Oryzias latipes: one gene and its partners. The protein of the gene in region 1 interacts with the protein of each later gene in a biochemical or structural test. Links are inferred from orthologs where the notes say so. Each region holds a gene or a part of one and is shown in the gene's direction. Other genes may lie near its edges. The genes, in order: synj1, lrrk2 and endophilin-A1.

Evidence for each region.
Region 2: of the proteins of synj1 (region 1) and lrrk2, one has a biochemical effect on the other in vitro, tested with the Homo sapiens proteins (2 studies listed by BioGRID). The link is inferred for Oryzias latipes from reciprocal best matches to the Homo sapiens genes SYNJ1 and LRRK2.
Region 3: the proteins of synj1 (region 1) and endophilin-A1 form a complex in vitro, tested with the Homo sapiens proteins (2 studies listed by BioGRID and IntAct, with this or other methods). The link is inferred for Oryzias latipes from reciprocal best matches to the Homo sapiens genes SYNJ1 and SH3GL2.

Annotation. Positions count from the first base shown.
Region 1 is NC_019872.2:10,887,150-10,890,797, forward strand, and holds part of synj1 (synaptojanin-1), read left to right. Parts: coding exon 1-182; intron 183-264; coding exon 265-423; intron 424-1,062; coding exon 1,063-1,219; intron 1,220-1,378; coding exon 1,379-1,505; intron 1,506-1,589; coding exon 1,590-1,802; intron 1,803-1,899; coding exon 1,900-1,978; intron 1,979-2,281; coding exon 2,282-2,447; intron 2,448-2,591; coding exon 2,592-2,774; intron 2,775-2,909; coding exon 2,910-2,951; intron 2,952-3,333; coding exon 3,334-3,462; intron 3,463-3,648. UniProt on the Homo sapiens protein: Phosphatase that acts on various phosphoinositides, including phosphatidylinositol 4-phosphate, phosphatidylinositol (4,5)-bisphosphate and phosphatidylinositol (3,4,5)-trisphosphate. Has a role in clathrin-mediated endocytosis.
Region 2 is NC_019864.2:2,138,666-2,142,313, reverse strand, and holds part of lrrk2 (leucine-rich repeat serine/threonine-protein kinase 2), read left to right. Parts: intron 1-1,237; coding exon 1,238-1,310; intron 1,311-1,396; coding exon 1,397-1,587; intron 1,588-1,997; coding exon 1,998-2,150; intron 2,151-2,225; coding exon 2,226-2,452; intron 2,453-3,183; coding exon 3,184-3,243; intron 3,244-3,323; coding exon 3,324-3,448; 3' UTR 3,449-3,456; intron 3,457-3,648. UniProt on the Homo sapiens protein: Serine/threonine-protein kinase which phosphorylates a broad range of proteins involved in multiple processes such as neuronal plasticity, innate immunity, autophagy, and vesicle trafficking.
Region 3 is NC_019876.2:2,702,429-2,706,625, forward strand, and holds the start of endophilin-A1, read left to right. Parts: upstream 1-1,325; 5' UTR 1,326-1,603; coding exon 1,604-1,648; intron 1,649-4,197. UniProt on the Homo sapiens protein: Implicated in synaptic vesicle endocytosis. May recruit other proteins to membranes with high curvature. Required for BDNF-dependent dendrite outgrowth.

The DNA of each region.
Region 1 (3,648 bases):
TAGACACGGTGAAAACTGGAATGGGTGGGGCCACAGGTAATAAAGGAGGTGTGGGCATCCGCCTGCTGTTCCACACCACCAGCATCTGCTTTGTGTGCTCCCATTTTGCCGCTGGCCAATCCCAAGTCAAAGAGAGGAATGATGACTACAACGAGATCACGCGCAGACTCAGTTTCCCCATGGTAACAGCTGTTTACAGCGGGGCTTTTTGGGCTCCGTGCCGCTTTAGTTGCCTAAACTGCAGCTTCCATGTCTGTCCTCCAGGGTCATCTGCTGTACTCCCATGATTACGTATTCTGGTGCGGAGACTTCAACTACCGAATCAACCTGCCCAATGAGGAAGTGAAGGAACTCATCCGACAGCAGAACTGGGAGGCTTTGACGGCTGGGGATCAGCTGCTGGAGCAAAAAAATGCAGGAGCGGTACGACTGTCCGACTTGAGATCCGACTGTGTTGTCGTCTGTTGTCATCTCGTTTCAGTACACCAACCAAAAGCTCTGGGCAGCTGATCTTAAATACCCACCCTGATCATCAAAAAACCTGTCTCATTTTCCAGGACATCGTTTCTGCATTTCATTAGAACTTAGACCGCTGGCATGTAGCAAGCACACCCCCCCTCCCCTTCCCCTCCCTGTTGTGGAGCAGGGAGCTTGTGGCCCACCCAGGGTCTTTTCTGCAACCCAAATGCAATCTTTTTCAAACTGCATTTTTTTGTCTGATTCACAAGGCTTTATAAAGAAATATTCAGAAATGCAATTTTAAGCTTAATTTGCTTAATAGATGTCCTCCATCCCCAGAAAAATACCACGTCTTAAGCACCAAAAACTTTATTTTCCTTGAAGTGGGTCTTTAAAAATCACAAAAAACTTTTGTAAATTCCTATGGTCACTAAAAAATGTTTATCAAAAAAATGTGCATGGCTGTCAGCATTTTATTTGCTAGGGTTTTTTATTGCATAGGAGCAAGGGCAGTACATAATATAAGCATAAATTATTTGTTATGAAATAGAAATTCATTTATTTGGCCCTCAAACCACTGACACTATCAACTGTATCCTGCAGATCTTCAGGGGGTTTATTGAGGGAAAGATAGATTTCGCCCCCACCTACAAATACGACCTTTTCTCAGACGATTATGACACCAGTGAGAAGTGCCGCACTCCAGCTTGGACGGACCGCATACTTTGGAAGAGGAGAAAGTGGAACTTCAGCAAAACGGGTTAGTTGCAGAACAAATAATGCAGGAAAAACATTTTCCCTTGTGTTTTATTGTTGAAACGTGTCAATTACAATGTTTTTGTTTTTTTTGCTGCTGTTGTGTGTGGAGAAAAAGAAAAAGCTTTTAAAGGAATAAGCTGTCTTTGTCTTTGGTTAACAGCAGAGGAGCTGAATGTTGTTGGGGCACCATCCACTTCTGCAGATAATGAGGGGGATCCAGAATTTGCATGGAGCCCTGGCGCTTTAAAGTACTACGGCAGGGCCGAGCTGAAGACCTCAGACCACAGGTAACTACGGAGGCTTAGATGTTTCAATAAAGTGTTTATGTTTGATATTTAAGGTTGTCTGAAAATCGTATCTTTATCTTATAGGCCTGTTGTGGCAGTAATAGATGTGGACATCCTGGAAGTGGACCCTGAGACTCGCCACCAGGTCTATAAAGATGTCATTGGCAAGCAGGGGCCTCCAGATGGCACCATCCTGGTATCGCTGTGCTCTTCTGGGCCTGATGACTACTTCAGTGATGACCTAATTGACGAGCTTCTGGATAAATTTTCCAATTTTGGAGAGGTCATCCTCATCAGGTCTGTTTGGGGTCACAACACAGAGATGCAGACTCATAATTACTGTCAGATATTTGTCCTCTCTGACTTTTTAATTTTATTTTTTATTTTTACCCAGATTTGTTGAGGAAAAGATGTGGGTTACTTTCCTGGAAGGTTATTCTGCTCTGGCAGCTCTTTCACTGAGTGCTTCCACTGTAAGTTCTGCTTTTTTATTCTTATTTCCCCACTTTTAATTATTGAAAACATTCAATTTAAAAAATGTACTGAAATTTGAAGTGACTTTTCACTCCATATTTGTTCTGGCTTTTTGGTTTTTAGGTTAAATAAAAACAAAAGTTTTAGCCATGAAATATCTGTCAGTCAAAACTAAACCAATCCTAAATAGGTAGTTCTGCTGAATTTAAGCCACTTTTGCTTCTTGTCTAAAAACCTTTTGAAGCTGTTCTGTATGTTTTGAACTGTTTTTTGTCTTTGATTCATGTGTTTGTGGCTACAAGGTTCTTGGAAAGGTGATTGACATTCGCCTCAGAAGCCCGGGCTGGATCAAGAGTTTGGAGGAGGAGATGAGTGTGGAGAGGATCTTTGGAAGCATGCCCACATCAGCCAGTTCCACCCTGCTTGCCGAAGATGCTGATGTGGATGAGGATGAATTTGACATGGAGGGTGAGTTGTTACCATGAATTCACATTTGGGGGGGGGCTCCTTTTTTATTTTTTATTTCTATCCTTCATGCCACATATCATAGAGAAACCTGTACACCTTAGAGTTTTTGATCAAGCCCTTTTTCTCTTCTACCTCTTTTTTCAGGTGAAGTGGATGAGGAGGTGGAGGAGATCCTTCCACAGCACCTGCAGCCCGGAGCCGGCTCTGGTCCCGGTTCTTCTCCTCTGCCCTCTCCCCGCAGTAGTCCCTGTCCCTCACCCACCCACGGGGAACCCGCTGCTCCCAGCAGGCCCAGTCGTTCCCAACAACCCTCCCGACCATCACAAGGTAAAATTCACTACACAAAACTGCATCACACTTTACTGCTTTTATTTTGCTAAAAGCCCACTTTAATCCCTTCCTTCAAACTAAGTCTATCTGCAGGAATATAAACTGTAATTTTCTTTTGTTTGTGGAATGTAGAAATGGAAATAAGTCCTTTGTCTCTGAGATTGGAATTTCCAGGTAATAAAATGTGTGGTAGTGCCATATGTGTGTATTGTAAGAATATTTAATGTCTTACAATAAAATGTTTCTCTTTGAGAAATATTTTATAGCACTGGTTCTTTAAGTGTGTGCAACGTGCTTCATTTTTTTTCTCTTTGCCTAGAAGTAGAAAGGTGGTAGGAGATGATTTGAACAGATGGTCCTTAGCTTAATACTGGTGTCCAATCATGTCATAGTGGTACAAATTCAATACTTAAAGGCTTTAGTCTATCACTTTTTCATTATAATATCTATTTTTTTAAAGAGGGCATATATCCTTTAAATACTTATGTTTGGAGCTTTATTTTTGGTCCAACCTGTTTGTGAAAATAGGCTTTCTCATATTCTGGCTTTCCTTCAGGACCTCCTGTTGACTTCCAGCCTGGCGCGCCCCCATCTGGAAGCCTGGAGCCCAAACGGCCACCACCCCCTCGACCCGGTCCCCCTCCTGCTAGACCTGCTCCACCTCAACGGCCTCCACCACCATCAGGTAAAAAACCCCACCCCCAATTTTTTGGGAATAGATTTCATTTGAGCCAGACATGTTTCTCCTGAAACTCAATTGAGAGCAGCCGGATAAAAGTCCCTTCTTTCTTCTCCGAATGTCACGTTTTGGATCTGTTGTTTTGTTCTGTCTAAGCTTTCTTTTGAGACAAAAATGTTCTGTTTTTCCTCT
Region 2 (3,648 bases), on another chromosome or scaffold:
CAGTCGTCTCGATGGGTTTTATACCGCTAATCGTAAAGTAAACATAACATCGTAAGGATCATGAATACATAGAATTTAATAGGAAAATTCTAAACTGAACTAACGAAACAGACTAAACTCAAATGGGCGTCCCTGCCCTTAGACCCCCTTCTCAGTGAAGAAAAACTCAAAAAAAGAAGCAAACTCAGGGGTGTCCACATGAAGGAGGGATCCTCCCCCAGGACGGACAGACCATGTACCAGAATTGAGCTATAGCATTAGAAAATGTTTCAAAATAAAACAAGTTGATTATATTCATCTATACCATTTGGATTGAGCGACGGTAGGTTTCTTTCACTGCAACGTACAAAACCACCAGGTGTCTCACAGCGGACAACACACACAAAATGATCAAGACATCATCAACACTTTGAATTTAGCAAAGCACACCCGACATACTTCTATACTCACACATCCCAGAATCAGAGTGTGGAAACTTTACATTTAGCTGAAGCTGCACATTCAGGGACACAGCAATGACAGCTTGTGACGCTTTCGGATAGCAAACCTCCTTTTTAATGTCAATGTGTAAACAAACAATGCTAAAAAAACTACACAAAGATCAATTCATACACAGACTTGTTCTCTGTTTTGGGGAAATTGATGTATGCAGTTAATGCAAGCAGAATTAACTCAGCGGTCGTCATTTTAACTGGAAATAGGTCACACAGCTGCAGACATGGAGCCCATTCTGTCCTACATTTATCTTTCAATCCTAATATTAGCTCACGTTTTGGATTATAATCTATAAAATCTAAATGTTATTAACTTCTTGTCACTTACTAGTGATTTTCCCTTCTTAAGACACTGAACGGATTTCCCAAACAAGTGTATGACAAACTGAGCAGCTGCTCCTTTAACCCTTGTGCTATCTTAGCTGACCCCACCCTTCCATTGAGGTGTTCTCCCTACCATGACAAAGGTGGATAAAGGTGGAAAGATTTCATGTAATCCATGGACACCAGTGAAGATCACAAATCATTGAAGAAAAAAGGTTCAGAGCACTGTGTAGTGGGTCTAGATGACCCAACTCCCAATGTTAAAGTGCCTAGGATAGCACAAGGGTTACGATCATGTGGTTGACGTGTACTCTACATTTGACAGTCTCTGAAAATACAAACATACTGCCTTTCAGTGAGAAAAATGAAAACTAAGTGATAGTTTGTTCACTTTTACCTTTTTTTCCCTATATTTTTAGCCAAAGAAAAAGCTACTTGCTGGTTGGGACAGCAGATGGGATTCTCAGTGTTTATGAGGACTCTGTGCTCCCGGTAAAAACCTCTTTCCATTGAGTCTGGACTCAGAAATGTGCTGCCTCAGCAAGCAGGACTTCACTCTCCTCTTGTGCTCCTTGCAGCAAACAAACGGGAGGCCCGTCAAAACCCTCACCGTGGGAAACGTCAACACGCCGCTCATGTGTTTGGGCCCGTCTCTGCACTCTGCCGACTCCAGAACTCTGTGGGCCGGCTGTGGAACCAACATCCTGTCCTTTTCTGTGGACTACGACGTCTCCAGGTCCATCGACACCAGACCCAACGGTGTCCTGCAGTGAGTGATTCTCCTCAGGACCCTTAGAACCTCTGACATTTGACTGAAGCCAAAAGAGAGCACAAACAGCATGAAACTGTCTTCACTTCTGGGTGAATGGGTCTGGAACTTTGTTGCCACAACATTTTGTGATTATATAAGAACTATCAGAAGAACAATTGAAATGTATGTAATTTGTAATGTTTGAAAACTGTTGAAAAGCTTATTTTGCCGTGTTCTTACATAGTTTAGTGCTTGCATGTGTGTTTGATAAACATGACAGGATGTTCGTTTTCTTCGTACACACGGCCTTAAAGTGGACTTTAAAAAGTCTTAAATTGAACTTCATTAAATCTTTAAAGTTGAAGCTCAAATAAAAGAAACATCCACCGCAGTGCAGGAAGTGAAGTCATGGGGGTGTCGCCCTGCAGGCAGCAGCCGCCTCTGAGTGGCGAGGCGTGTGTGTCTCGCATGGTTGTGGACAAAAACGTGTACCTGAGTAAAGCCGGAGCGTCGACCGTTGAAGTTTGGGATAAGAGGAGTGAGAGGCTGATGGAGTGCATCGACTGTTGTCACATCATTCGGTACACACACACACGCTGTTAGTTACAGTAAATCTGTGTTTCCACGCATCCGCAGTGACTCTACTCTCCCTGCAGGCAGGACTCGGGCGGCAGACGCGGGCCGGGCGGACGAGCGGAACGCCCCTCTGACGCCCCGCCCCCCTGGGCCATAGTGAAGGCTCTGCTGCTGCAAAGCAATGCAGCTCTCTGGATCGGCACTAGGGGGGGCCATTTGCTGCTGCTGGAGCTCCCCAAACACCAGCCTCTGTGGGTCGCGGCGCTCGGCTGCGACTCGGTCCGCTCCATCACCTCTGCGTTCATACGTGCGTTCTCCACATTTGTCCTCTGGTGCTGAGCGCCACTGTCCTGCTGGTCATCACATCCAACATTGTCTGTTGATCACGAAGCCTCCAGGTCCCACTCCCATCATCTGTTGATCCATTTTCAAAGCGCTCCCAGTGGTCTTTTGATTATGATGATGCCGTTTTTAGCCCAAATCCAAAAACCTGTGTTGTTTACTAAGACATAGTTTCTGCAGAGCCGCAGGAGTTCAGTAGAAATTTACCTGGAAGCCCCCCCCCACTGCGGGGTGAAGCAGAGACCTTGTGGGCCACACAGCCTATTTTCTACGTCACAAATAAGCTCTTTTTCCAACTGCATCTTTTTGTCTGCTCCTGATTCACAGCGATTCGAATCAAGAATTACGTAGGAATGCTATTTTATTCTCACTTTTCTGCCATAAAGAGCATGCGTAAAAAACACCCTTTTCATCAGAGTGGGTCTTGAACTACTCCTGTTGGGTTGCCGTAGTTTTATGCTGCCAGTCCGTGGAGTCTGTTAATTGCAAACGAGAAGCGGATCCTGGCAGCAGTTAACCGGTGCTGGCACAGCGTGAGCTCCAGAACAGGTCAGATCCAGTGGAGCGGTGAAAGCAGCAGCAGAGTGTGACAACGGACACAAGCAAACATCAGGAACACACAGATACGCAGCACCTGCGGCTCACATTCATTTGCATCAGTGTCTTCCTGCAACATGCTTGTTTTTGCCCCCGCAGAGCCGCTGATCTGGAAGAATGTGGTGCTGGTTTTGGGACGGAGACTCCCACAAGACAAGAGTCAGTATGAGGGCGTTTCCGCAGACAGCTGTGGGATTGGGACGCCCAGCGCCTGAGCCTGTTTGTCCGTTTGCCCTCAGATGAGGAGTCTGTGCTGATGGTGTGGAGCAGCAAGCTGCCGGCGGAGGTCAGAGACCTGAAGAAGCACTGTGAGAAGAGGGAGCGCACCGCAGTGAGAATGAGAGAGCAGCTCCACCAATCCTGAGCCTGCAGGTTTGGAGGATTTCTATTCCATCCAATTAGGATTTTGCTGTTTTTAGCCACAAGAAAACAAAAACCTGTGTGGTTTCTAGAACAGTTTCTGCAGAGCGACAGGAGTTCATGACACATTCAGCTCGGAGTTTAGGGCGGGACTATTAGCAGAGCCCGTCACCACTTCCCATCATCCTTCTGTTTACACTCTCT
Region 3 (4,197 bases), on another chromosome or scaffold:
GACTAAAGCACATAGTTTGGTTGAAATTCTTGCTTACTGAACCGGTAAATTAGCACATTTTTAAAAATCAAAACATATGCAAATATATGGAGGATGTAGAAATACTGATATTAGGCTTTACAAAAAATAAAAAATAAAAAAAAAGAAATCAATGGGGAATGTCCATGTGAAAAAGTAATTGAATGTCCGAGCTGCCCTTAAACGCGCCATCGGACCCTCCAATGAGCTGTCCGTGGTGCTGAAACCGCGTCGGTGTCTGTTCAGTTACAGTGTGTTCAGTTACAGTTCAGACGCCTGCAGAAACGCTCGATCACGTGACCCCACCTGTGATCTTATTATTATTCTGTAGAATTAACTCTTTCACATAGGAGGGTCGCGCGTGCGAGGACGGCTCGTGGACGGTGGAGGGCGGCGCGTTCCTGTCACAGCAGACCTGCGCTCTCGCCCTTCTGAAGATCGTCTATCTGTGAAGACAGACGTCTGACTGACGAGAAATTTGTCTTTTCCTGCATAGTTATCAAAAATCTCTGTAGATGTTAGTTATATAATGTGGATTAAACCAAACTGTGACATTTTTGGTAAAATTGTTTTACATTTTTTTTTTTATCCACAGAAACTCTTGAAGAGTTCTAATCAAAAGAAATAAAAACATTTTTTGTTCACAAAACAGAATATTATTCAAATTCAAAAAAGCTAAAATAAACTTTGTTAAACGTTTTTAATTAATTTATTGGTCTTAATTTCAAAACAACAAAAAAATCTTTTTTTAACAATCTTTAAAAGCTGTTGGAAGTCTTTCCCAGTAAACTATTTTTTTTTTACCATTTTTTAAATTTATTTATGTAATTTTGTTGTAGTTGTTGTTGTTTTTCAAATGTTCTTATTCCTAAACAGATGTTTGATTGGTGTGTACCTTTTTACATTTTTCGGATATAACAAAAAATTGCACCACACGTTTGCAGTGGATCACACGCCACCTTCGTAGCTGTATTTATTTATAATGAGAATATCAGTTTTGATGTCCTTTCTTTTGCTGTTATTTATGAACATTGTTTTTCCTGCCCCATGGTGGGATAAATAAAGTCATTTAATCTAATCTAATCTAAACATTTGCCAATGGGACATTGTTAAACGGATTTCTTTCCTTTTTTTGTTTTATTTCTTTATAATTTATGTCAAGTTCAGACATTACACTACCTAAAACAAGTCTTTGAAATAAATAAAAAATGAACAAGCATAATCCTATTTATTCATTGGAAAACTCAAAATTTTATTGCATATTTAAAAAATAAACAGCTGGACAAACGGGACGTGGATCATTTCGGTTTATTCGTTGGAGTGATCCATCTCGCTCATCAACGATCTCCGCCCTCCGCCTCGCTCGTGCGCCTGAAAATAGATCCAGCAGCTGGGTTTGGTCCGGCCGTCCTCCGCTCCGCTCCCACCGGGTCCCACCGAGCGCTAACGGACACTTATCGACGCGCATCACCGGAGGATTTACGGACGAGTTCCGCCGGGTCGAACCGGTCCACTTCCAGACTCCGTTCTCCGTGAAATTTTTCCGCCGTCAGTTCTTTCTTTTTTCTTCCTCCGCAGCCGAAAGATGTCTGTCGCGGGGCTGAAAAAGCAGTTCCACAAAGCCACCCAGGTGAGCGCTTTAGCCCGTTCTGACCCGGTTCAGCCTTTGTTTCCATGTTTAAAATCTAAAAACAAACATTTCTGTTGTTCTGAACCTTTAAATGAATCTAAACGGAAGTTTAAAACACAACATTTCTGTTTCAAATCATGTTTTATTCCCACAAATCTCGCATTTTATGCTGAAAACAGATTTAATCCACGCAGGTGGATCCTCCTGTCACGTTTGGGTCCAAACTGATCCGGTCCGGTTCACAGTTTCGGTTCTTTACAGGATGTTCTCGTGATGTTTGGAGTGGGGAACCGGGCAGCAGAACCGGGCAAACCCCGGCGCTGAGGCTCGGTTATAATATTATGTAAGAATCCGTAAAGTCCGGAGCTGATTGGCTGCTGCTGAACGCAACAGGGAATTCCCTCCATCCTCCTCCATCTTCTCCCCCCATGCATGCCTTCATCCTGGCTCCTCATCCAAACTTCACTACACCCCCTCTTCCTCACCTCCACCTCAGTTTTCTAACTTCTCCTCTTTCATCTGTTCTTCCTCCCATCATCCTCTCATTCATCCTACAGCTTTCTGTTCTTGTCATTCCTCCAACATCTCTCCATCTGCATCCCTCCTTCACGTCCTCCTCCATCTTTCCGTTTGTCCATTCATTCTTTGTATCATCTTGTTTTTTTCATTGACTCTCTCCTCCACCGTCCTCCCTCTCCAGTCCTTCCCTCCATCTGTCCATCCGTTCGGCCCGGAGCCCCCCCTCTCTGCTCTGCAGGCTGGATGGATGGGTGGAGGTTTACTCTAGCGGATGAGGAAGAAGAGAGGTTGATGAAGATGAGGTTGGGAGCTGCCTGTTGATGAAGGTGAAGATTCCTCCGCTGTGTCACATGACTCTGTTGCCAGAGATCAAAGTGGAGGCGTGTCCTAGTGAGTGGACACTTCAAAGGGCGGTTAGCCCCCCCAGAGTACCTAAAGCTGCAGTTCATCTAATGACCACTAGGGTTGGTTTCCAATGGGAGCCGTTCCCACTGACTCCCATGTTAAAAGTCCAACTTCACAGAAAAACTGAACAGGTAGAACAGGGTGTTCATGTTGGGACCTTTTCGTTTGTGGGGGTTTTTATGAAAGCTCAAACATCTCGTGGGGGTGGGGGGGGGTTGTTTGTACTGACTGGCAGGAGGGTGGAGTTAACTAAACTCCTGCTGTCCTTTGTCCCGCCCCATCACCCAGTGCTGTAACGTTGGGAGGAGAAAGTTCCGGTTAATTTGTTCGTCCCAATTCAGGCTTGATTCTTGCCGTTCGGGACAATCCGTGAGACGTCAGCAATGATCCGTCCACTTGGTTTCTATGGTAACAGTCCCACAGTTTGTGTCGGATGTAGGGACCAGTTTGGGCAAATCTTGAAACGGCAGTGTTGATGGAGATCTTAACGCTGACGTTGGAATCCAGTTTGAGTTCAAGAAGTTCATGAATTCCAGAGGGAAACAAGCTTCACCTCCATTCTCCAACCGCTCCAACAGTGATGCAACATTGGAGATGATCCAGATTGGTGAAGACGCCGTTTATTTCAGGCTGTCCTGCACTTCTGGGACTTTCACAACTTCTCTGGTTTCATTAAAAAGCAGAAAAGCACATCAGAGAAAGATGAGGGTTAGAAACGAATCCGTCTCCCTCAAGCCTGCCGTCTGTCCCGCTGTCATCTGGACAAACTGCTGTTCATTTGTCACCTGGAAATAGAGGATAGTTATTGATCCCTGAGGGGGAAGTGGGTCACGACGGCAGGAAATGAGAGAAATAAAGAGCAGAGACGTCCTGAAAGCTCAGACAGAACCTGAGGGAGACACGGACTGGAATCCGTCCGTCCGTCTAAATGTTTGTTTCACTGAGTTCTACCAGAAAACATTAAAGGTTCTGCTGTGGCATGATGGGAAATATCAAGATCCTACACCGCTCGGTGAACCATAGAGAGAACGTGTTCATGCATGTGTTTTTCTACGGCAGACAGGTCGTAGTGAACACGTGGGATTCAGTATTCTGTCTGACGGTTTACTATCTATCAATACATGATGGAAGGACCTTCAGTTCTCTAGACGTGTAGACGGGACATGTTTGTCATGTTTCAGGCGTATCCCTGCTGGTTGTTTAGCAGTTTCCAGTTTTGTTTCCGTTGAGTCTGAACGAGTTTTGTTATCAACATCACAGACACATTGGTTCTCGGTGTGGTACGGTACTTTGCAGTTCTGTAGTACCTAGCGGTTCTGTAGCACACTAGAGTCCCCAACGGTGTCAAACTACAGCTTTTAGCGGTCATGTTGGGTGGCTTCAGCCATACCCAGTTGCATCATGGGTATTGGTGAGTATGGCCTTAGATTGATCAACAACAGTTGGGCACAAAACCTTGTTGGTGAACATTAGGAGCAGCTGAATACGACTCGGGTCGGTTCAATAAAGTTCTTTAACTGCATCAGAAGAAGCAGAACTGATGTGATGTGGATCGGACGGGTTTTCTGGGTCTGACGGCGTCTCTGAGCAGAACCGTGTGGTTTCCTGAACTCACCGGTTAAAGA